3 linked regions of the Notamacropus eugenii genome follow. The main gene of each other region encodes a partner of the protein of the gene in region 3 in a complex. Links are inferred from orthologs where the notes say so. Each region holds a gene or a part of one and is shown on either strand. Other genes may lie near its edges.

Region 1 (7,949 bases), on a different chromosome or scaffold from region 3:
TATCAAAGTGTAAAGCCAAAATACATTAATACTTTCATCACTGAAAAATTTGGAGATTATTTCACTGTAACTTTCTAAAACTCAAACTATAAGCAAAACCTTAAGACTGAATGGGTGGTGCTTAATTTGTATTTGATAAGCCTTAGAGTACTCACTGAAGATAGGTTCATTGTATTAGTTTCAAAGTAAAAAAATTAAGTTATGACATTTCGCTTATGTAAAATGAAAATCCTAAAGTCAATACTAAGTTTAAAAAATGCAATTTACCCTAAGACACAAAAAAGCAGAAATTATTTTTAAGACTTTCTAAAGAGATAGAACAATTTAACTACTTTCAAAACTTACTAGTCTATTAACTAGTTTACAACCAGGACATCAATTCTTAAAACCTAGGTGTTACACAACATATATTTTTAGAACACAGCACCTGTCATAAGCATAGCTACAAAATCTTGAGTCAAAAATAACTACTGACAAAAAAGAAAAATGGAAATCTCTCTCACATATGCTCTCAATGGTGTCAGTTACTCTTTCCTTTCCCAAATGTAATTTTTAAAAATTCTAAGATGAAGGGTAGCATCATTTATATTGAGAAAACAAATTCACTCATACAGAACATGAAATATACACCTCAAAAGTGGTCTTTAATTAGGACTGGATAATTAGGGAAGAAATAGTTTACGTTTTCATTTTACTTGGGTCTACTCAAGTACACCATTTGTCAATGGATGGAAGAAAATTAGTTTATAATAATATTGCTTTTTATGCAACTGAAGTGCTGCATTTTACTAGTTAGGGTGCCCCTCAATCCCCACCCCATTTTCTATCTTCTAGAGTATCCATTTCAAAGTAGTTCACCCCCCATAAGCACAGCATTGTGCCACTCTCAGTACTATACATCCAAAACGACCTACCTATTCTTAAAGTACAGAAATGGGAGCTTTGTGGTCAGTGTCAATCACTTTTGACTTCCAAAACAAAAAAAGTCCAAAAAAATTCAACTTCCTAACCATCAGTGTTTTAAACTTCCTCTCTCCATAAAAGCTTTTAAGTGTTAGTAAAACCCGGAACAAACATCCAATCGCCAGGTAAAATACCTTTTCTTGCTGCCCCCTCCACTCCAAACACCAGTTCATTAGGTTCCATTCTCCACGCGGGATTACCATTTTATCTGGTCTGTACTAGCATGCTAGTATATAGTGAGGGCTCTTCACTTCAACAGGAACAAGCCAACAGCCACCCTGCCATCCCCTAACCGTAGCTCACAGCTAACTTCACCACAGGTCAGAGACAAGTCGCTACAAGGTGTGCGGGCAGTCGCCAGCTTCATTCAGGAGAAACACGCCCTCCCCTGCTCTCCTCCGGCCTCCCACCCAGACTGACTGTGCTGCACTTCTAACTATAGAATGCCGCCAGGGGCCCTCCCCCCGCCCTCACTCGGGGAAGGTATGCAGACCAGGCGAGACCCAAGCTCAGCGCCCCAGCCCCGGGGAACGAGCCAGGGACGTGACGGCGAGCCGACCGTGGCCGAATTCAAACACCCCCGAAAGGGCTCCTGCTCTGCCCCTCTCCCTCCCACCCCCGGAAGAGGGCTGATGAAAGCACTCACACACAACGCCAGCCCTAGCAAACGCGTTTCTAGGGGTCTAACCGCGCACACGGCCATCTCCGCTCAGGACCTCCGCCACGGCCGGACACGGGCACATGCACGCGTGGACACGTCCACACACACACACGCGCGCACACGCCGGAGCAGCCCCGAGCGGGCCTGGCTCCACCGCAGCCCCTCCCTCCTCCCGATCCCAGCTCCCTCTACCAGGGGCCACGTGACGCAGGCGGACGTTTCAATGCTGCTGCTCCTGCTGCTGCACTCAGTATTTCTGGAAACTTCCACTCATAATAATTCACCGAGCCGTTCCCCACATCGCCCCGGCCGACGGGGGCAGCCCCCGGGCCCCGCGCCCCCTCCCCAAGGGCGGCAGCGGCTCGCCTCCCGCGGCCGTGCACCCCACCTCCCTCCCCTCCCACCTCCCCAGCGCTACAAGCCGTTCCATTCAATTGCAGGCACCGCACCACACCGCGGCCCGTACCCCGCTCGGGGGCCTTTCCCCCCGCCGCGCGGCGGACCGCCCCCCCGATCCTCCCACTTCACCCCACCCAGGATCTCTCCTCGATCCAGCTCGGGCTCCCGAACCCTCAGGACTACACCCCCCGACCCCCCAAGATCGCTCATTACGTGTTCCGACTTACCCAGAGATTGAACCAACTGCCTCGTCCTTCCTTGTGGGGGGCTGGGAGGGGATGAGGGAAGGTGGGGAAGGGGGAAGGAGGGGAGACGAAGGTGGGTTTCACAGTTTGCCCACCTTAAAAAAAGAGAAATTAAAAAATGAGAGGGGAGGAAAAAGGCAAAAAAAAAGCTCAATAACGTTTTACTCTTCCAGTGACGCCTCCCCCCCTCACACGCACCTCCCCCCAAAATAACGATAACGAAGCGGATGAATCAACGATCCCGCTGGGGTGGAAAAGGAGGGGCGGGGGAGGGGAGAAGGGAAGTCAGGTCCCAGAGGTTCAGCCCCAAGGGGACCCTCCGGCCAGGCAGGAGCAGCGGGGGGGGGGGGGGGGGGGGGGTCGCCGCTGAAGTCCAGTCAGGGGACGCTCAGTGCTGCCGGGTGCAGTCCGACTTCCCCCCACCACAACGCAGTGCCCTCTCTCACTCGGCTCCGGCGGCTGGGCCCCCCCAACCCGGCTCCCCTAAACTTTCTCCCCTCCTCTTCCTCCTCCGCGACTGGCGGCTCCCTCCTCCCCCTCCGGGTGCTTGCACGGCCGGCAGCAGCAAAGACGGGAGCAGGCGCCGCTGCTGGGGCTGTAGCTATTGCCGTGGAGGTTGCTGTTGCTGCTGCTGCTGCTGCTGCTCTTGCTGCCGCCGCGCCGCTTCTCCCCCTCCTAGTGCCACAAACTCGGAACCGGTTGAAACCGGTTCAGACTGGGAGATTCCATCTCGGTTGAGTTTTCAGCCCATGGCGCCGCGGAGCGTTTGGAACCTGGGCCTCCTCCCCCAGCCCGCCGGCTTATTGGTCGGAGCTAGCCACAGCCGCGCCGTCAGTCACGCAGCCATTGGCTGGCGGACCCATCAATCCCACCTAAAGCCTCCACACGAGCCCGCCGCTCAGGCCCCCGCCTCTTTCCAGCAGCGATTTGCCCGCAGAGTGGGGGAGGGGAGATAGGCCTGGTTGAGAGGGAGCCTGGGTGGGGGGGTAGTAGGCAAGGGAGAGAGGAGTGGAGCGGGGAGGACAAGGGGAAACCGCACGGGGATTGGTCACGGCTGCCTGCCAGTCAAAAGTAGCCTTCCCTCCCCCACCTCCCGCCACCTCCCCTTTCGAGGCCCTCAGGCCCCGATTTTCCTCTCTGCTCATTGGTCCGGCGCCTTTGGTGACGGAGAGGGTGGGGCGCCGCCAGTGTGCTGGTGGAAGCGCGAGTTTGATCTGGTAGCGCGCGGGCAAGTGTTCGCTCCCTCTCTCCACAGCCCCAGGTCAGCCCCGCCCCGCCCCCTCCCCGCCATCTCCCGCCCAACGTCTTGAGCCCGCCTCAGCCCTCTCGGCTGTGGGTCCCGCCCTTTGCCTGCTCCGTGGGTGGGGGCTGTAGACCAGGAGCCGGGAGAACTAATCGTTTGTAAGGGGGAGGCAGGAGGAGAGGCCTTGGGCGGCCTGGTGGGAGCGCTAGGAGCTGCCCTCCGGGGCCGAGCTGGAGCCCTTTGTGTCGGGACCTCCGAATGTAAAGCGGGCCCCGGCCGCGCTCGTCGGGCTGCTGTGCACTTGGCGGGAAGACCGCCACCAGCCCCCGGGACCGGGCCTTCCCTGCTCCGCGGGAGCTGCCCGATCGCTCGGGGTGCCTGGGAGCGGGGCGTGGAGGGGGACACGCCGAGCGCGGCTCTTAGCTCCGGCCGAGCTCCCCCGCTGCCCTCGGCGCCGAGCCTCGGGCGCCCAGCTACCTGCGGGCTGTCTGGGAGGGGCGTGAGGCGCCCGGCCCCCTGCTGCCCGCGGGCCGCCCCACGTTCTGGGACTTCAAAGGAAGCCGCGTCCGCACACGTGGGAGTGCCCGGAGCCGGGCGCTCCTCAGCCGATCTTCAGGCTCTCCTGAAACGGTTGGGTAAATAAGGAGGCGCCCCCACGGAAACTTGTTACTGAGCCCATTCTGCCACCCAGAGGTGGCGAGGGAATGAGTGTTTGTTTACGTCCGTGTGTGTGCGTGCCTGGACTTCTCTGGCGCAAGCCTTGGCTCCCTGGGCACCTGTCTGCTGAACCAGGTGGGGTCCCTCCCCCCCTTTTCCCCAGGTACACCCCCTGATCACACTGGATGACTTCTAGACCTAGATTTGAACTCGTTGTCCAACACGTGCCCGCGATGACAGAGGCACAATATCCTGAACGTTTGAGAGGTGAGGGAAAGGGTTTATTAAAGCATGTACTGACCGTTTAGTATGTGCCAGGCTCTATGAATGTCTGTGATGACAGCAGTTCTGTAGTATAGCTGCCGTTATCGTCCTCTTTTTACTGTTGAGGAAACTGAGGCAGGAACCTGCCAGAGCTGCCTCTAGACAAAATGGATCTGCCAGCCCTGGCCCTGGCCCTGGCCCGCGGACAAACCCCTCCTCCAAGAAAGGCCCTTTATCAGGCTGGGGATGTCGTGGAGGCTTGCCCAAGGAGCTGGGTCCAGCCGGCCTTCTCGCCACCAACATGGGCTGCCTGTAGAACTTCTGAAAAATTACCCCAGTGGTTTCAGATGGCTGTGAATAAGTATTCTTGCTCTTGGTGCTCCCGTATTTGGCTCATCTCTGTACGTTCCTTAACAGAAAGGAGCAGATCTGTGTGACCATAGTGATGAATCATTGCATGCAAGACACTGGGTTCATCTTGTGCCCAGCACCACCTCAAAGCAGAGCCCTGAATGCTGAATGGAAGGTCCTCCGGTGAAGACTTGTCAGTGTAACAGCTCCAGAGGGCCATTAGATAAGCACGTCTGGCTCTAGCCTTAGAGTTTGGAGGAGCCTTGCCAAGGTGAACTGTTATATCCATCTTGAGAGGGAACATAGAGATACAGCAAAAAGGCCTCCCCACGCCAACCAGGTTTGTCCATTATCCTCTTGGTAGATCAGGAGGAGCCGATGGAAGAAGCCATAGATTTGGAATCTGTGATTTCTTACCTGTGTGACCTGGTAATCACTTAAGCTCCCTGGGCCTCAGTGTCTTCATTTGTCAAATGAATGGATTGAACTAGTTAACCTCCGAGGTTCCTTCCAGCTATAGTTATCATCGCAGTGTTTTAAAGATTATACTTGAATATTGAATATTTAGTTTAGGAAACTAGGTGGTGCAGTGAAAAGGATTGTTGTTTGTCCTTTCCCAGAAGAGGACCATGATATCAGGGAGGTTAATGCCATGACATACTAGTGAAATGGATTTAAGTGAGGGAGGGCTGTGCAAAGTCACCAGCCTCACTTTCTCCTCTGGAGCCTTGTGGGTCTAGTGGCCAGATAGAGATCAGAACAATGGGAGATGACCAAGGATGCAGTGGGGGACCTAGACCTTTTCAAGCTAAGGGCTTTAACAGGTCTCAGTTTGACTGGGTCAACACCCATTCAGTGACTAAGCCTTAATAAGAATCGGGGCAGAGAACAGTATAGAGCATTAGACTTGGAGTCAGAACAGACCTGTGTTCAAATCCACCCTCAGAAGCGTACTAGCTGTGTGACCTGGGCAAGTCATTTAACCTCGAGCCACGCTTTTCTCACCTACTTCCCAGGGTTGATTTGAGGGAAAAAATGAGATATTTGTAAAAATACTTCATAAACCTTATGTTATATAAATACTAGCTATTATCATCCTTTCCAAAAGCAGTGATTTCTTTGGTCCTGTAGTTCATTTTACCTCATTTACTTCCTAAAGTAAAACATTTTTCCTGCTACTCTGTTGATCATGTGAGGAAAAAGCTTTGTGGCCCAGTGGATTGAGCACCAGGCCTGGAGTCAGGAGGACCTGAGTTCAAATCCAGTCTCAGACTCTTACTAGCTGTGTGACTCTGGGCAAGTCAGTTAAACTCTGTTTGCCTTAAGCCACTGGAGAAGGAAAGGGCAAATCACTCCAATATTTTTGCCAAGAAAGGACAGTATGGTCCACAGGGTCACAAAGAGTTGGACGTAACTGAACAGCAACAAAAAATTGATCATATGTGTATGTGTATGTAGAGAGACATATGCAATGTATACATCTATGTGAGTATTGTGTATATGTGTATATATATGTGTGTGTATTAATACTTGTAGATAGCATCCTAAAGCCTGTCACCCCAGTTAATGTGAGGAACAAGATGCTCTATGCCTTAGTAGCTTTATCAGGAGAGTGTCAGGATCAGTCAAAGGTATAAACTAGGTAGGAATAAGTTCTTAGATAATTAGTAAAATACTTGAGTCATTGAATGAGAGCAGATGATGCTTCATAGGAAATGTCTTGTGGTTGGTTGAAGTTGGCTAAAATAGCAAACCAGGTCAGAATCTGGCTTTCCTATAACTGATCGGACTAATAGTAGAACAACTACAGCTGAGCATCAGAGAGGGAATCTCTTAGGGGGTAGGTAAGGAGGAATTTCTGCATTTTCTCCCCTCCTCTTGATCAGAGGAAAACTTTGTGACTTTGGAAGGGTTGGAAGATTTGAACATCTGTATTGGTAGCGGCGTTCCTGGAACAGCAGTGGCTGATGGCAGTATGTGCTTCAGGAGTCAAGGAAGAACTAGAGAATACTGAGGAAATGCAACTACAGGACTGTACAAGAGCACCTACCATCAGAGTCCAGCAGAGAAGCACATATCCCAAAGGGAAACTTCTTGAGAACTCTATGAAAGGAGAAAAGGAATTCCAAAAATCAAGAGCTGTGAGTTAACCCTTTCTCTCATGTTCTCTAAACTAGAGCCCACTCTCCCCAGGGATTTGTGTGTGCCAGAGGAGAGTGTGCCTTAGCCTGGGGGTGGGGGGATGGGAGTTATTTGGGTCTAAATCTTCCTTTCTCTATCTGCTTAGTAAATACTCCTTTCTGAAAGCTAATTAAGTCGAACATAATCAAAGAGGAACCCATCAGATGAGGGTTTGAGAGTGATACTACTAGAACCTTAAGTTTATTCCTAAAACCCTGAGGGGAGAAATAATTAGCTGTTCTCTAAGGAACTAACTTGTTAGTGTAAGTAGGGGTTGGGGAAGAGAGCTTAGAGGTGGTGTTGCATATCTATATCTCTATATACAATATGTATATGTTTACATATGTACATATGCACATATGTGTATATTACATGTAGGGTTTGTGTAGCCCATGTAGGGGTATACGTCCACCTGGGTTATCTAATAGCTATTTGTGGGTAGTATGATTTGATGGATCTGGAATTTTGCCTACCCTTCTCCAAAGGAAATTTTAGTTTCTGCCTAGAGGGGAAAAAGGAAATTAGTGCCATAGGCTACTCATTCTTCTCTCCTTAGATAAGGAGTATATTTATACCCATTTTCTCCCAGGCTATATTTATACCCATTTTCTCCCTTAAATATTGTTAGTCTAGGGAAGGATATTTTCCCCTTTGGTTCAATCTGCTTTTTAGGTTACTATTCCTTAAAAAAAGGAGTACCTCTTATTTATATTTGAAGGCTTGAATCTATCCCATCAAAAGCTAGTTATCTAAAAGGCCATCACAAATAGTGAATAGTGAGTAAACTCATTTATTTAAGCAGAAAACAAGCAGAAACCAGATTAGAATATTCCAGACAATATACAGAGTGAATTAGTTCTTCCACTGAGAGCAAGCTATCCATCTGAGCTCAACAAAGACAGGCTTTGATCTTACCCAAAAGGAAATTCCTCAAAGTTTCTAGGGAGGCATGCTGGAAATTAGGGACTTGTTGAAGGAGCCAGTT
Region 2 (7,725 bases), on a different chromosome or scaffold from region 3:
GAAAATCTCTTGGCAGTTGTGTAAGAAGACCAATTAAGAGGCCATGGCAGTGAAAGGTGATGTAGGTTCGAATTGCATTGGTGTTTATGTGAATACAAAGATCAGGTCAGAAGCAAAGGATGTCATGGACACAGAAATGGCAAGATGTGTCAACTGAGTGACTATATGTGTGATGAGAGAGAATGAGTACTTCAGAACAACACCGAGATGGAAAATCTGAGTGACTAGAAGGAAGGGGATGCGCAATAGAAATAGAGATGATCAGGAGAACTGAACTTGGGTGAGACTGAGGGAAAAGAAAACGAGTTGTTTTGGAGAAGTTGAGTTTAAGATGTCTATAGGCAACCTAGTTTGAAATATCCAACAGAGATATCTGAGCAATGCTCAGGAGATACTCAGGCAGGATATGTAGAATTTAGGAATCATTTGTAAATGGTAATTAAACTCATGAAAACTGCTGAGGTCACCAAGCAAGAGACAAGAAGTGGGCCCAGGACAGGATCCTGGAGTATCCACAATTAAGAGGTGCAATCTAGAGAAGGTTGGAAATGACTGGTGCAAAGGCAAAAGGCATCAATAAGATACAGTTTAAAAAATAAGTATTACTCTTAAGTAGCATTATTTCAGTCATTTCAAGATTGTCATGAACTCTGCAGATTATCAGCTGGTATCTATGTGGGGTGTGACTTTTTTTTTTTAATTGCTTTATTCTATTACTATTTATAGAAATAACAACATGCACTCCTTCCTACGTGTATCCTTTTTTCTGCCTAATTAGCTTCAGCAGTGATTCACAGAATCTATTGAGTGGACGTGAGTTTCAAGGACATCTAGTTCGACCCATACATTCTCTTTCTTAGAGAAGCTGAATGGCCATGACCAGAGATATGTCAAGTATGACCTTTCAGCAGAAGGGTCATGCCAACAGCTCAGAAATATAATGAGGAAAACAGGGTGAGGTTCCAGAGTGGGGGAAGCTTGCAGGATGACCGTATACTACTGTCTCACCTCAAACTCGCTGATGGCATAGTCACCAGATACTCAGTGCAGCACTAAACAAAAACCTGGTCCTGGTCCCTGCTTCAAAATGGAGTTAAACCAAAGTACAAAGAAAAAGTCAGAGGAGACAAGGGTTTCTCCAGTACTTTCCACAGCCACTGTGAAAACATCTCTGATTTTCTCTGAGACTAAATATACGTGTGTTCGTCCTTCGTTGCCCAAGAAGATCATGCCATCAGAGAAATGATGACATGACTTGCACTTGAATTTGTTTTGAGTGAGGGAAGGCTGTGCAGGTCACCAGCCTCACTTCTCCTCCAGAGCCACCTGAATCCAGTGACCTGATATTCATCAGGATGGCTGGAGATGACCCAGGATGAGGCAGCTGGGGTTAAGTGACTTGCCCAAGGTCACACCGCTAGTGGCGTGTCCAGTGTCTGAGGTGAGATTTGCACTCAGGCCCTCCTGACGCCTGCACTGGTGCTCTGTCCACTGCACCACTAGAGGCCCCTGAATGACCAGGTTCAGGAGAATGGGGTCCGGTTCAGCAGGCGGGAGAAGCCCCAGCGCTGGTGGCGGCCACGCAGGTCACACAAGTGCGGAGGGGCCCGTGAGAGATGGTGCGACTGTGTGGTAAAGGGCAAGCACTGCGGTTCTAACTGTCTAATTCTAGCACCCTCCCTTCCCACTCCCCCCCTGCCCTGGGATGGCGAGCAATCACTCAACCACGTGAAGCATTCCCATGTCAGTCATTCACTCTACTATAACAGATAGCGGGGACGGCTGTCGATAATAACGATGCTGAGGAGCCATCGCTTAAACAGCAGTAGCAACGACAGCTAACGCGCACGCCGCACTTACCCGGGGAGGACGAGCGGCCCCCCGCTCGGACCCAGCACTTCACGGCTCTCCTCCGCTCCTGCCCACACCCCGGGGGGCGGGCCCCAGGATGTCCCCCTGCTGCGGAGTGACCGGCCCGGGGTTTGCAAAGCGCTTTACAAGGCGACCCCGACCCCGCGAAGCGCCGGCTGATGTCATTACCCCCATTTACAGACTAGCTAAGGGACTCCACCAGGATCACAGAAACGGGAAAGGGACGAGGCCGTGCTCGAACCCAGGCCCCCCGGACTCCACCGCCGGCACCCCGCCCACCACGCGACGCAGCCAGCGCGACAACCAAGAAAACCCCCGAGGACTCCCCGGGAAAACCCGAGCGGCGTTTCTCAGGTGAGAAGGGGAGGGGGAGGGGAGGGAGAGAGAGGGCAGGAGGCCCGCCTAGGGCGCGGGAGGGAGGAACACCCACGTGCGTGGGCGTGGCCAAGGCGCGAGCGGGAAACAAAGGAAATGCAACCCGGCGCCTCTCACGACCCGGCCCTGCCAGGCTGCAGCGCGCGCCCGAGCCGGGCCGTGACCTCTGGAGGGGCGGGGCAGCGACCTCCGACGGAAGGCGGGAACGCGCCTGGACCACCCGCGGCTGTCCCTGGCCCTGCTGGTCCCTCGGCACGGAACCTACCGTGAGCGTGGGTTCACCATCCAGCTCCTCCATGTTGGCGGTCCGGTCAACGCAAGCACCAGGGACTCGAGGGCCGCCACAAGCACCCGGGCCCCGTATCTCGCGCCTACGAAGGACCCCGCTCCGGCGCCCGGCTGGCCGCGGAAGTGCCTGTCAGGGCGCTCGGGATTTGAGCGCATACGTGCGCATGCTCACATCAGCCACCCTTAAAGATAATTCCCCACTTGGGGCTTGGAAGCCGCCCCTCCGAAATCGCCGATGCTGAAGCATCACGTCCGTGCTTCCATCCGTCTCACTGACACCGGGCATAACTGTGGGCAGCCCGGCTCTCCCCAGGTGGCGGGAGAGTTCTTCGTCGGGTCTTCGTTGGGGTTGGGAAGCCTGGGATCTGCGGGCAGGTTGCGCCCCCCTGCGGCTGCGGGTGGAGAGGCAGTCTGGACCTGTGGCGAGCTGGAGCCATCCCCGCGGGTTAGCCCGTGCTGGGCCCTCTCCGCACGCACCCCGCCGGCAGGCGGTGTGCCCCCCGTGCAGGAGGCATCCGCGGAGGTGGAAACTGCCGCTGTGACTGCACCCATGAAGGCAGACGCTGCCACGCAGTAGAAACTAGCTCCAGTGAGGATGAGGATGGCAGGAAGGACTGGCTCACAGCTACCCCGAGGTAGGGGCTGCTGTTACCCCATTTTACAGAAGAAGAAACTGAGGCCAGCAGGCTCAGTGACTTGTGACGGGCACGCAGCTTTTACATGTCTGAGGCTGAATTTGAACCCAGGTCTTCCTGACTCCAGGTTCCAACTCTACTGCTTATCCCTAGCACTGGTTTTAAATTGATTTAAAGTCGCTCCAGCTGTCCCAGGGAACTTGAAAATCCCCCACCACCATGCCCTCGGTGCATTCACTTTATTTTACTTGGAGGGATCTTTGTGGTTGTTGAGGCACAGTGGATAGAGTCCTGGAGTCGGGAAGACTCATATTTCTTCTCAGACCCTTATTAGCTGTGTGACCCTGGACAAGTCACTTAACCCAGTTTGCCCACTTTGCTCTTTTGTAAGATGAGCTGGAGAAGGCACCTGTCTGCCGCCGACTGAGCTGGAGCAGCCCAGAGTCATGGAGAAGTCTGGGTGCTGATATTCCAGTGGGAGGTTCTGCTTGGTAGTCATGCCCCTTTTGGAGAAGAAAACCATGTCTAGGAGGTTGGAGCCAGGTGGGCTGGCTGACCAGAAGACAGGGGCTATGAGTGAGTTGTTCAGACAGTGTAGGTTGGGCTGAAAATGAAATGTTTATCTGTTCCACAACTGTCCTGTAAGTTTTTCCTATCTCCCAGAAGAGTGTAATAGAACTGATGGATTATTGTTTCATGTTTTAAATATTTTTCAGTGAGTGCTTATGAGTCTTTTGTGTTTTAAGCATTTCTTTTGTTGTGGAGGAAATAAATAGCGGTCCTGTACATAATCTATTTCGTACATTGAGCATTTCTGTAGGAGTCTAATCCCTTCTGGGCAGAACCTGGACAAGAGCCAAAACTAGGCTTTGTTTAAGAGATTTTCCCCAGAGTTGGTACAACTCTAGATTGATAGCATAATGAACCCAGAGTTGGGAGCCCTTGATGGGAAAGAGGTTACCAACCCCAAACCAGGATATAAGTGACACCTCGAATAAATCTGATCACTAAACACAATGTGAGTGACTTTATTCAGTTAGAAAACAGCATCTGCAATGATATATTTTTTTTAATTGTGAAGGTACATGAAGATTAGAAGGGAATTTGCAGGATGTTATGGCCAAAGCTAAACATCTTGTTACGTGATGGGGATTGCATCCCTTAACACTTCTAGGAAAATGTACTCCTCTCTGGAGTTTGTCTTTTTGGAATGACAAAGCAGACTCATGGTCTCTCACTCCCAGTGGTTGAAAGACATCAAACCTGTATCAGCTAGGACTGGCGAATAAGCCAGGAGGTATTTTGCTCTCTGTCTCTCTTTTCCACCTTATGGGTGATAAGTGCTTTTCCTCTTTAGACTACCCTGAAGGGAAAAAGAAAGGGTAGCCCCTTTCATCAGCTCTGACAACCTGACATCTGCTAATATATGGCAATGAGGCCAGCTGAACTTAACCTTGAAGTTCCTGACTAGCTTTTCCATTTGCCCAAGATGTACATGGCCTGCCTCCAAGGCAATCTTGTGTGGATTCCAGAGTCTGAGATCATACTGAGGTCTCTCTGAGCTGACCTGCAGCAGGAGTTTCTACATCAGAGAATGACTGGCCTGACTTGCCAGTAGAAGTGGACCTGGAGAGATTTGTTTGAAAAGGGCAGAGCCTAAGAGAAAGATAAAATGTCTATTCAGCAGACCCATAAAATGTTTTATATTTTGTTCAAGTCTCACAGGAGAACATAACAGTAATACTGAGGGAGCTAGGTGGACACAGTGGACAGAACCCTGGAACTCAGTCTTGAGTTCAAAACTGGCCTCAGAAACTTATAAACTTCCTGACCCTGGGCAAGTCACTTAACCCTTACCAGCCACAGGTCCCGCATCTGTAAAATGGCAATGATAAATAGCACCAACCTCTTCAGGTTGTGAGGAGGGCAAAATAAGCTAAAGTTTGTAAAGACCTTTGCAAACATTAAATTGCTCCAGCCACTATCATTACTCCTTCCTCGTTAAGGACACTTGTGAGTCTTTTGTTTTTAGCCTTTCTTTTGTGTAGAGGAAATAAATAGCTGTCCTAGATCTCATTAATATTTTATCTCCAGGACCTTTTAACCTTCCCCTTTTTGGGGAGAAACCGAGCCCAACCAGGTGGGTTTGCTCATCCTAGAATTTCTTTTAAAAAGGGAGAGGGATCCTGTGTTTCAGAGAGACCCTAGACATGAGCCAAACCTAAACTTTAAGTAATTTTTCCAGGTGCTCTTCTAGGGTGCTGAGAGTTAAGGGGCCTCTGAGTGAAGAGCAGAGTGAAGGTGGGGAGATCAATACATAATTTGAATAAATTATTGAATAAACATTTGAATAAATCCACTCCACTCCCACCTAAAGTAATAAGATGCTATACCCCTATTACATTTAACAGGTGGGAACGCATCTCATTTATGTAAAGAAGGCCTGGATATCTCTCCAAATATAGCAAGAAATGTATTCTGATTGATTGAGGAAACTTAGTTATGTCCTATGGGCCATCTATAAAATACTGAGCCAGTTTTTGCTTGAGAGATTCAAGTCCCCAGCAATGGAGAAGAGAGAGCATTCCAGCTATACTCCACAGAAAGAATCTTTTGGAATCCAGGGAAGAGCAGAGAGAGCCCTGGCCTTGATTTTCTCCTGCCCCTAGTCCCACTTTGATTGGACTAGTGGAGGATTTTGTACTTCTCATCTTCCCAATGGCATCCTTGAAGTGACAATGTCTTGCTTCAGGAAGCAAGGTCAGCCTGAGCATGGTGGGGAAAGGCAGGCTAAAGGCTTTACAAAAAAGAAACGTTCAACCATACTTAAGGACTGTGGCAGAAGAATTCCTGAGAGCTTCGATTTTGTCACATATGCCATCTAAACTGAAGCCCACTTTCCCCTGGAATCTGTACTTGTGAGAAGAATAATCCCAAAGAGACACCCATCAATGAGAAACAGCTCAATAGCTAGTTTATGAATATGGAGTATCTTGAGTTGTGGGGACAAAATCAGAGAAGCATAGGAAGATTTACATGAAAAAATGTCAAGTCAAGTAAGCAGAAACTGGAAAATAAATGCAATGATTCCAAAAAATGCAAATGGAAAGAAAGAACAATAATAAAAGAATGGAATATAGTCTCTGGGAACCTCTTTGAACTCTAAAATCTGGCTTTTCCCACCCAAATTGGTTACCTTTAACCTAGCCTGGCCCTCCTTTGTTGGTTGCCTCCAGATTGCCTCGGGTTACTTCCCATCTTTTATTCTATAAACCCTCCATTGTCTGTTAACTCCTCCCTGATCACATCAGAATCCTACTGTCTTGATTCTGACCAGTTGTCACTCCAACCCCATTAAGATCCTCATTGGACTCCTCCTCAAGACCCTCCCTAAACCCTCTTCCCATCACCCTAGACCACTAGACCACCCCCAGATCCCTCGCACAGTCTTTCTGTATATAAGCTCTTTCTTGTCTCTATGAAGGTGCTCTGATTCAATCCAGTTCTGATTCTGTCTACCTGAGATTCTATCTGGCCCACTTGTTAATACAAACCTCAAAAACGGCCAGCCTTCATAAGTTAACCCAACATGACGGATCTTTAATAAACTTTGTTTTTCATTGGCTGTAAAAAGGCTTGGGTCAAATTCATTTGGGTAGGACCCAGGGTTGTCAGTATTTTGGGGTCCCAGGCACCCCAAGCCTCAACACATGGTTCTCTCACCTCAACAAAGCAATGACCTAGAAACTTGAATGTGTTGTAGTTATAATGACCAAGCTTAGCCCAATAGCTCAAGAAAAGTGATGAGAAAATTCACCTTCCTCTCTTTGCTGAGGTGGAAGATTATGGGTGTGGAACATTACCTGTAAAGTTTGTCTCTGCTGATATGTTAGCTAATTGTGTACTGTGAATTCACAGCAAACTTGCAACCCAAAATGGGGCACAGAAATTGTTTGCCAAACCTAGCTCTGAATGATTCATGATCAGTAGTATCAAACTCAAATAGATGGGATCCCTGAGCTGCATATTGACTTAGAGAAAAACACAAATTAACATATTTTTTTTGTGGAACACTAAGACACTGCTGTACTCAAGCCAGCAAAAGGCACTGAGGCCCCTCCCTTCTCTAATGAAGGTCTCCTCTTGGCTCTAGACCTATCTATGTACATGTTCTGGACTGCTTTTAGTCATGGGAAGAACCTGAGTGACTCTAAAAGGGAGATTAGACTTTTTCTTCTCATCTACTTTAGCTCATTATGTCTTATAGCATAGTCACCTCTGGGGAAAACTACTTAAAGATCAGGTTTTGACTTGTGCCTAAGATCTCCCCAAAAAGGAAAATTAAAAAGCTATTCTATATACATTATGGAACAGGTATTTATTTCCTAACACCCAAAAGAAACGCTCAGTACAGCACGTTGACAGGAACTAAATAAGGAGCAACACTAACCACTGCCATACTGTGCCAGGAGGTTAACACTTAAAACCATTTAAACTGGAAGCAGTTTGCAAGGCATTTTACATTTCACCTTGGCTCTGCACTGTCTTCCTCAAA
Region 3 (8,087 bases):
GGTGCTGCCCGGTGCTGCCCACACCCGGAGAAGGAGCTGTGCAGTCGGGCCAGATCGGAGCACACCCTTTCCTCCCTTTGCTGTTTGTTTTCTCCCCTTTGTTCCGATTTTTCTTTCACAACATGACTAATGTGGAAATGTTTAATACGATTGTACGGGTGTAGCCTCTGTCAGACTGCATGCCGTCTTGAGGAAGGGGGGAGACTTCACAACTCAAAATCTTATAAAAGTGAATGTAGAAAACTAAAAGTCATTGTTTAAAAAATTTAACTGTTTCTTTAAAATAGCACTTAAGGGAGTTTTATAGAGCTTTGTAAATAACCCATTTCATCCTCAAAATAACCCTGGGAGATGGGTGTAGCTCTTAAACCCCTTTACAGAGAAGAACCTTGAGGCCCCTCCAGGATCGCACAGCCACAAATTCCTGGGGCAGGGACTTGTTGGAGGGACAATTCACCCAAAGGAATCCGGTTTTATGTGTAGAAAAGCAGTCCTGTGAGTCCGTCCCAGGGATGGTGAGCTGGGGAGGCACTCTGTAGGGTTAAATAGGAGCAAGGGTCCTATTCGTTGTGGCTTACCCTACAAGGAGGTCAGCACAGTGCCCAGCATCTAAAGGACTGGGGGGAAGGGGAAGAAAAAACGAAGGGCCTACAATGTACCAGGCAGTGCGCTTAGCACTTTACTATGCTAAAGACATTTTCACAGTCATATTGCACGGAAGAATTAAAACGAATGGGAGAAACCATGAGAAAAATGAAACCAGAACATAACACATGAGAAAACAGTCTTTCATTCCGCATCCCGATTCCATAGTTCTTTCTCTGAATGTGGATGGTACTGATGCTCACAATAACCCTGGGCCATAGACACTATTATCATTTCCACTTTACAATTGAGGAAATTGGGGGAGACAGAAGTTAAGTGATTTGCTCAGTCATAAAGCTATTAAATGTCTAAGTTTGGATTTGAACCCAAGAACCCAGTGCTCTATGTGTGACACATCGTGTGACACCTTGCTGTAGGCAATGTCTTGCTGACTATACAAATAACTTTTCTACTAATCTAAATTTTTTACCATTGGAGTAATTAATGTAGTTTATAACCCTCCTCTGCTAACCCTAAGTCCCTTTCTCTCCAGAAGATCATAATTGAAATGGACATACTGAGGAAGCCCTTTACCATTAGAATAGATGAGTTTGTTATTATTAGACACCTTGGATCTGGAGAGGACAGAGGAATTTTACTAGTGGGAAAACAAGGCTTGGACAAGTTCAGGACATGGGAGAGAGAGGGAGATTTACTTCAGCACCTGGTTTAGGTCCTCATATTCCAGCAGTTATCGTTACACTAGTAATTTTGCTGACATAGTGAAAAAGACTAGTGAATAAACAGCCATTTCAGAATCTTTGTAAGCCCATTTTTGGGTTTTCTTGACAGATACTGAAGAGATTTGATTTTGTTCAGGTAGTTTTTCGGTCATGTCTGACCCAGCCTGGGTTGATATCCTGCCTCTGATACATCTTGGCTGTGTGACTCTTGAGCAAGTCACTTAAACTCAGTACTCTAGGCCAGAGACGTCAAACACAGCCCACAGGTCCAAACCAGATTAAAATACATTTGGGAATTATTTTTGAAAATAAATGTAAATGCAATAAAACAAAGATAATATTGTATTTTGAAGAACTAAGTTAATTTTCAACCCATGAGGATCCTTCTGCATGGATTAATGATGCCTTTCCATTTAGAATTTAACACCACTGCTCTAAGCAGTTCTCTGAAACAAGGGGTCTTTTTAAAAAAAAAAAATCAATCTATTTGTTTTTAGTTTTCAACAATCACTTCCATAAGTTTTAAATTTTCTGCCCCTTACTCCCCCCTCCCTCCTTGAGATGGCATGCAATCTTATATGAGTTCTACACGTACATTCTTATTAAACACATTTTCACATTAGTTATGTTGCACAGAAGAATTAAAATGAATGGGAGAAACTATGAGAAAAATCAAACCAAAACATAACACATGAGAAAACAGTCTGTTTCATTCTGCATTCCAATTCCATAGTTCTTCACTGGATGTGAATGGTATTTTGCATCAAGAGTCTTTGGGAGGTGGGGGCCACAGCCAAGATGTCAGAGTAGAAGGATGGACCTGCTCTAGCTCTCCCCCCATAGCCCAAAAAATACCTGTTAAAAAAATGACTAAACAAATTCGAGGTGGTTGCTCAGAGATCAGAGCACAGGCCAGGAGAGGAGTAAACTCCTGTCCCTTAATTGTGCCACCTTGGAGAAACTGAGAACTTACTGGTCCCTAGAGATATCTCAGAGAACAGCTACACAAAACCTCTGAAGCCTAGGGTAGTATACTCTCCACTTGGCAAAGGACTCAAAAATCAAGTAACTGGCTGGGGAAACGCCCAAAAAGGGGGTAAAAAATAAGACTATATTACTTTATTATTATTATTATTTACTATATTATTATTATTATTTACTATATTACTTTATTGGTGAAAAGGTATTTTCTTCCATCTTTTTGGATGAGGAAGAACAAAGCATATCATCAGAGGAAGACAGCAAGGTCAAGGCTTCTACATCCAAAACTTCCAAAAAAAAATATGCAATGGGCTCAGACAATGGAAGAGCTCAAAAAGGATTTTGAAAATCAAGTAAGAGAGGTGGAAGAAAAATTGGAAAGAGAAATGGGAGCAATGCAAGAAAATCATGAAAAGTGAGTCAACAGCTTGGTAAGGAGATCCCAAAAAATGCTGAAGAAAAATGGACTAACCCAAATGACAAAAGAGGTCCAAAAAGTCAAGGAGGAGAAGAATGCTTCCTAGAAAAGGAGGTCCAAAAGCTCACTGAAGAAAATAATTCTTTAAAAATTAGAATGGAACAGATGGAAGCTAATGTCTTTATGACAAACCAAGAAATTCTAAAACAAAACCAAAAGAATGAAAGAAATAGAAGACAATGTGAAATATCTTATTGGAAAAACAACTGACCTGGAAAATAGATCCAGGAAAGAGAGTTTAGAAATTGTTGGTCTACCTGAAAACCATGATAAAAAAAAAGAGCCTAGACATCATATTCCAAGAAATTATCAAGGAAAACTGCCCTGATATTGTAGAATCAGAGGGTAAAATAGAAATGGAAAGAATTCACCTGTTACCTCCTGAAAGAGATCCCAAAAGAAAAGCTCCTAGGAATATTGTAGCCAAATTCCAGAGTTATCAGGTTAAGGAGAAAATATTACAAGCAGCCAGAAAGAAACAATTCAAGTATTGTGGAAATATAATCAGGATAACACAGGATTTACTCCTACATGAAAAGATGTTATTTTTAACTCACGGGACCTTTTTCATTAATAGGAAGGGAGAATACCCAAAAAATAAAAATTTACTGTTGAGTGGAATGTATTAGGAGTAAGAGAAAGGTAGAATGTAGCAAATCATCTCACATAAAAGCCGTAAGACAATGGAGGGGAAGAGGAGGGAGGTGAATTAAATGAGCCTCTTGTGGAATTTAGCTTAAGGAGGGAATAACACAATTGGATATGGAAATCTATTTTACCCTGCGGGAAGGGAGAAGGGAAGGGGATAGGAGAGAGGACAGCATTTGGAGGAAAGGGATAATCAGAAGCAAACACTGTTGTGGGAGGACAGGTCAAGGGAGAGAATGGAATAAATGCAGGGCAGGAGAGGACAGAGGGAAATATGGTTAGTCTTTCACAACATAACTATTATGGAAGTGTTTTGCATTGTTACACATGTATGACCTATATTGAGTTGCTTGTTTTCTCAATGAGGGTGGGTTGGGAGGGAGGAAGGGGGAGAACATGGAACTCAAAGCTTTAACAATGAATGTTAAAAATTGTTTTAGCATGCAACTGGAAAATAGATATACAGGCAATGGGGTATAGAAATCTATTTTACCCTACAGGAAAATAGAGGGGAGGGGGATGGAAGAAGGGGGTGGTTATAGAAGGGAGGACAGACTGGAGGAAGGGGTGGATGGGGTGCATGTTGTCCTGGGGTGGGGAGAGATGGAGAGAAAATTTTGAATTCAAATTCTTGTGGAAGTGAATGTTGAGAACTGAAAAATAAAAGATATTAAGAGGAAAAAAAAGAGTCCTTTGGGAATGTTTTAGGTCCTTGCATTGCTATGAAGGGCTAAGTGTATCAGAAGTAGTCTTTGCACACTGTGGCTGTTATTGTGTATCATGTTCTCCTGGTTCTGTTCATTTCACTCAGCATCAATTCATATAAATCCAGGTTTTTCTGAAGTCTGACTGTTTGTCATTTCTTATAGCACAATATTATTCCATTACATTCATATACCACAACTTGTTCAGCCCTTCCCCAGTTGAAGGGCATTCCCTCAATTTCTAGTTCTTGACCACCACAGAAAGAGTTGCTATAAATATTTTTGTACATGTGGGACCTTTTATCATTTTTATGATCTCTTTGGGATACAGCTTTAGAAGCAATATTGCTGGGTCAAAGGGTATGCACATTTTTATAACCCTTTGGACATAGTTCCAAACTGCTCTCCAGAATGACTGGATCAGCTCACAGCTCCACCAGCAATGAATTAGTGTTCCAACTCTCCCACATCTTCTCCAACATTTATCATCTTCTTGTTTTCTCTTGTTAGCCAATCAGATAGGTATGGTGTGGTACCTCAGAATTGTTTTGATTTACATCTCTCTAATCAATAGTGATTTAGAGCATTTTTTCATATGACTATAGATAGCTTTAATTTCTTCCTCTGAAAACTGCCTGTTCATATCCTTTGACCATTTATCAATTGGGGAATGACTTGTTTTCTTGTAAATTTGACTCAGTTCTCTTATATTTTAGAAATGAGGTCTTTATCACAAACATGAAACAAGGGGTATTAATGTGAGGGGTTTTTTATATTTTTAAATGAAAAAACAACTATTTTAATATAATTGATTTCCTACATATTGTACTTTATGTATTTAAAAACATGATTCTGAGAAGGGGTCCACAGACCTCATCAGACTACTCAAAGGATTCCATGATTCAAAAAAAAGGTTAAGAATAGTTCGTATAGAGGAAAAAGAGAAAAGATACAGCCTTAGGCCTAGTAGTTAGTGGGCATTGTGCGAATGAAGATCCAGCAAAGGAGAATAAGAAGAAGAGTCAAACAGGTAGAAGAACCAGGAGAAAATAAAGAAAACCTGGAGAGAAGAGATCATCGAGGGTGTCAAAGAATGATGCTATAAATTGGTTTCATTTAATCGCTTTTTCCATTTTATGAGAGGGTTCCTGGGGATTTTGGGGTGGGTAACGACGGGGAGATGTTAGAGAATACTGGAAAATGACAGTTTTATACAAACAAAGATATCAATATAATGTTAAAATGTAAAAATAAACTAGAGATGACTAGTAACATTGTAATGTAGAAACCCTGCAAAATTTCCCAATAAAATCAGAAGTGAAAAAAAAGATTATTATTATTATTTGACATAGTTCTAGAAGTACTAGCTAGCTAAAGCAATAAGGCTAATTAAGGGAATAAGCACCTGAAAAAAAGGAAAAATTGGCAATTTACTCACAAAATAGTAAAGAATTAAAAACTAGACAGTTCAGCAAAGTAACAAGATATGAAATATCAATAAGACTCTCGTATTAAGGTCCTACTATATGCCCAGCACTATACTAAGTCATAGGGATACAAAAAGAAGCAAAAGACAGTCCCTGCCCTCAAGGAGCTCACAATCTAATGGGGGAGACCACAAGCAAACAAATATGTATAAACAAGCTATATAGATGATAAATAGAAAATAATTAGGAAAGGCACTAGAATTAATAGGAGTTGGGGAAGAATTCCTGTAGAAGAGGGGACCTTAGCTGGGGACTTCAAGGAAAGTGGGAGAACAGTAGTCAGACTGAAGGAGGAACAGCATTCCAGGCAGGGTGGACAGCCAGAGAAAATGCCCAGAGACAGGAGATGGATTGTCCTGTTCATGGATTTTAAGGAAGAAAATAGGTACGAATTTACTATGAGGGAAGCTGTGAAATGCGCCAATTCTTTTAAAAGGCAATTTGGAATGATCAAGATATCACAAAGTTTTTCATACTCTTTTGTCTAATGATCTCATTGTTGGTTTTGTACCCCAAAGAAGCTTTGATATAAAAAATGACCCATCTACACAAAAGAATCTTCATAGCAGCACTATTTCTAACAGCGAAAAGCTCAGAGCAAACTGTGTACATGTGAGAGAACAGCTGAACAAATGAAAAGACACCATAATGCCTCAGAAAGATGGAAATAAGGACTGGATGACAAGCACTATGCTAAGCACTGGGGATACATGTGGATAAGCCAAATAACCCCTCACTCTCAAGGAGTTCATAATCTAATTAGAGGAGAAAAGAGGGGAAATTAAGTCTCAGGAGTTAAGAGGACAAAGGGGCAGAGCAGACAGTAAAGTTTGATAGACCTTAGCAGTTCCAAAGCAGAAGGTCACTCATTAATGACCATTGGGAAGCAGATAGTGAGTGGGATGTGGGCTCTGAATAATCTCAGGGAAGGTTGGTGTTGAGGGTAGGGAAAAGGGGAGGAGGAAACGTCTAAGTCTGAGGGAATATCCATTAGGAACTGAGCAAGGGAGCAGAGGAAAGGAAGGGTTCCCTGAATCTTGTTCCATTTTTTCTCCAAAGAAAAAAGTCCCGCTTGCCCATTTGATGCTGTTTCGTTTCCAGGCAACAAGTTGAAAAACCAGCAAGAGTGGCTGCTGTGGGGGGCTGGAGCCCTTCCCATCCACTGCCCACAAGCCAATGAATGGACACTTGAAAATAATAGCTAGTTATTAGCTATTATGTATAAATATTTTAATTAAATACCATATGAAATAGATATAATAAATTATTTGTGCACTGTAATATGTATCTTAATATATTACATGCACAATTATGATATTGTGAATGTTGTGTGAGATGTAATTATATAAAATAGATAATTATAGATAGAAATGTATACTGTATTAATTACATATAAGATAGAATTATATTCATATATTAATTACATCATATAAACCATATTATTATATAGTTAATACATTGATGTATTAATAACTAACAATTAACTACAGATAATAATAACAGTAGTTAACATTTATATAGTGCCTACTATGTGCTAGGCACTGTGTTAAATGTTCTACAGATTATCTCCTTAGATCCTCATAACCACCCTGACAGGTAGGGGCTTTTATTGTCTCCACTGTACTTGAGAAAATTGAGGCAAACGGGTTAAGTGACTTGTTTGTGGTCACTCAGCCATTAAGTTATATCTGAGGCCAAATTTGAACTCAGATCTTCCTGACTTCGGGTTCCTGGGTCACCCCAGGATGACCCAACAAGAGCAAGAGTAAAATATAAATAGGAAGAATTCGAAGAAATGTGGACAAACTTGTGCCTGGTGATAGAGTGAGGAAAGCAGACACAAAATAACAATATACTCAGCAATTACAACTACATAAAATAGGCCAGGGAAATGGAAACAAAACTCAGATGAAATAAAATGGATACTGTTGCTACTTATTTGTTAAAGTTAGAGGTCACACCCTTCCCTTCAAGTACAGAAATGTAGAAGTATCTAGGTTGTTCAGGGATGACTAACACCTGAGACGTGAGGTGGCCACCTGTGTCTCCAAGAAGCTGTCGGATGCAGAGTAGCCACAGCCTGTACTATCTTGGCAGATGGGCTAACCCAGGTTGAGGTAATAGACAGGTCTCAAACTCATCAGTGAGTTACGGAGATGTCTACCCCAAGCACGTGAAGACTTGCCCTGGCAGAAATGGCAGATCAGAACAATTTGTTTCAATGGCTGGATTTGGATTCAGGAAGAGGAGTCTTTCACAACTCCAGGCCTGGCACTCTATCCATTGAGCCACCTAGCTATTCTTATTTCATCCTTCCTACCTACAAACATGTCCAATCTCCCTAGAGTTAGAACCTACCATCTTCTCAAGCAATAGTCCTATCTTCTCCCTTTTTGGGCCAAACTCCCAGAAAAAATTCTGTCCATTGTCTTAATTTCCTTTCATTCACTTCTGAATCCTT

What was found. The genes of interacting proteins can lie anywhere in the genome.
Region 1: the proteins of E3 SUMO-protein ligase RanBP2-like (region 3) and XPO1 are in contact, whole or in part, in a cryo-EM structure (PDB 9B62), measured with the Homo sapiens proteins. The link is inferred for Notamacropus eugenii from reciprocal best matches to the Homo sapiens genes RANBP2 and XPO1. Residues at the interface, in NP_006258.3 of Homo sapiens: Val2508, Val2509, Ser2510, Pro2511, Pro2512, Lys2513, Phe2514, Val2515, Phe2516, Gly2841, Phe2842, Gly2843, Ser2845, Thr2846, Gly2847, Leu2848, Ser2849, Phe2850, Ala2851, Leu2853, Ala2854, Asn2857, Ser2858, Gly2859, Asp2860, Phe2861, Ala2862, Phe2863, Gly2864, Ser2865; in NP_003391.1 of Homo sapiens: Trp60, Val63, Asp64, Leu83, Asn97, Gln98, Gly101, Ile102, Lys104, Tyr105, Val107, Gly108, Ile110, Ile111, Leu134, Phe149, Asp152, Ile153, Gly155, Ala156, Ser157, Arg158, Thr159, Ser160, Glu161, Leu163, Cys164, Asn167, Leu208, Phe211.
Region 2: E3 SUMO-protein ligase RanBP2-like (region 3) and NUP85 share a complex: the UniProt entries of both Homo sapiens proteins name them as parts of the nuclear pore complex. The link is inferred for Notamacropus eugenii from reciprocal best matches to the Homo sapiens genes RANBP2 and NUP85.

What each region holds. Positions count from the first base shown.
Region 1 is NC_092872.1:643,246,849-643,254,797, reverse strand, and holds the start of XPO1 (exportin-1), read right to left. Parts: upstream 3,005-7,949; 5' UTR 2,251-3,004; intron 1,818-2,250; exon of another isoform or gene 1,610-1,817; intron 1-1,609. UniProt on the Homo sapiens protein: Mediates the nuclear export of cellular proteins (cargos) bearing a leucine-rich nuclear export signal (NES) and of RNAs.
Region 2 is NC_092873.1:341,248,745-341,256,469, reverse strand, and holds the start of NUP85 (nuclear pore complex protein Nup85), read right to left. Parts: upstream 3,005-7,725; 5' UTR 2,546-3,004; coding exon 2,513-2,545; intron 2,394-2,512; exon of another isoform or gene 1,861-2,393; intron 1-1,860. UniProt on the Homo sapiens protein: Essential component of the nuclear pore complex (NPC) that seems to be required for NPC assembly and maintenance. As part of the NPC Nup107-160 subcomplex plays a role in RNA export and in tethering NUP96/Nup98 and NUP153 to the nucleus.
Region 3 is NC_092877.1:204,448,510-204,456,596, reverse strand, and holds the start of E3 SUMO-protein ligase RanBP2-like, read right to left. Parts: upstream 3,062-8,087; 5' UTR 1-3,061. UniProt on the Homo sapiens protein: E3 SUMO-protein ligase which facilitates SUMO1 and SUMO2 conjugation by UBE2I. Involved in transport factor (Ran-GTP, karyopherin)-mediated protein import via the F-G repeat-containing domain which acts as a docking site for substrates.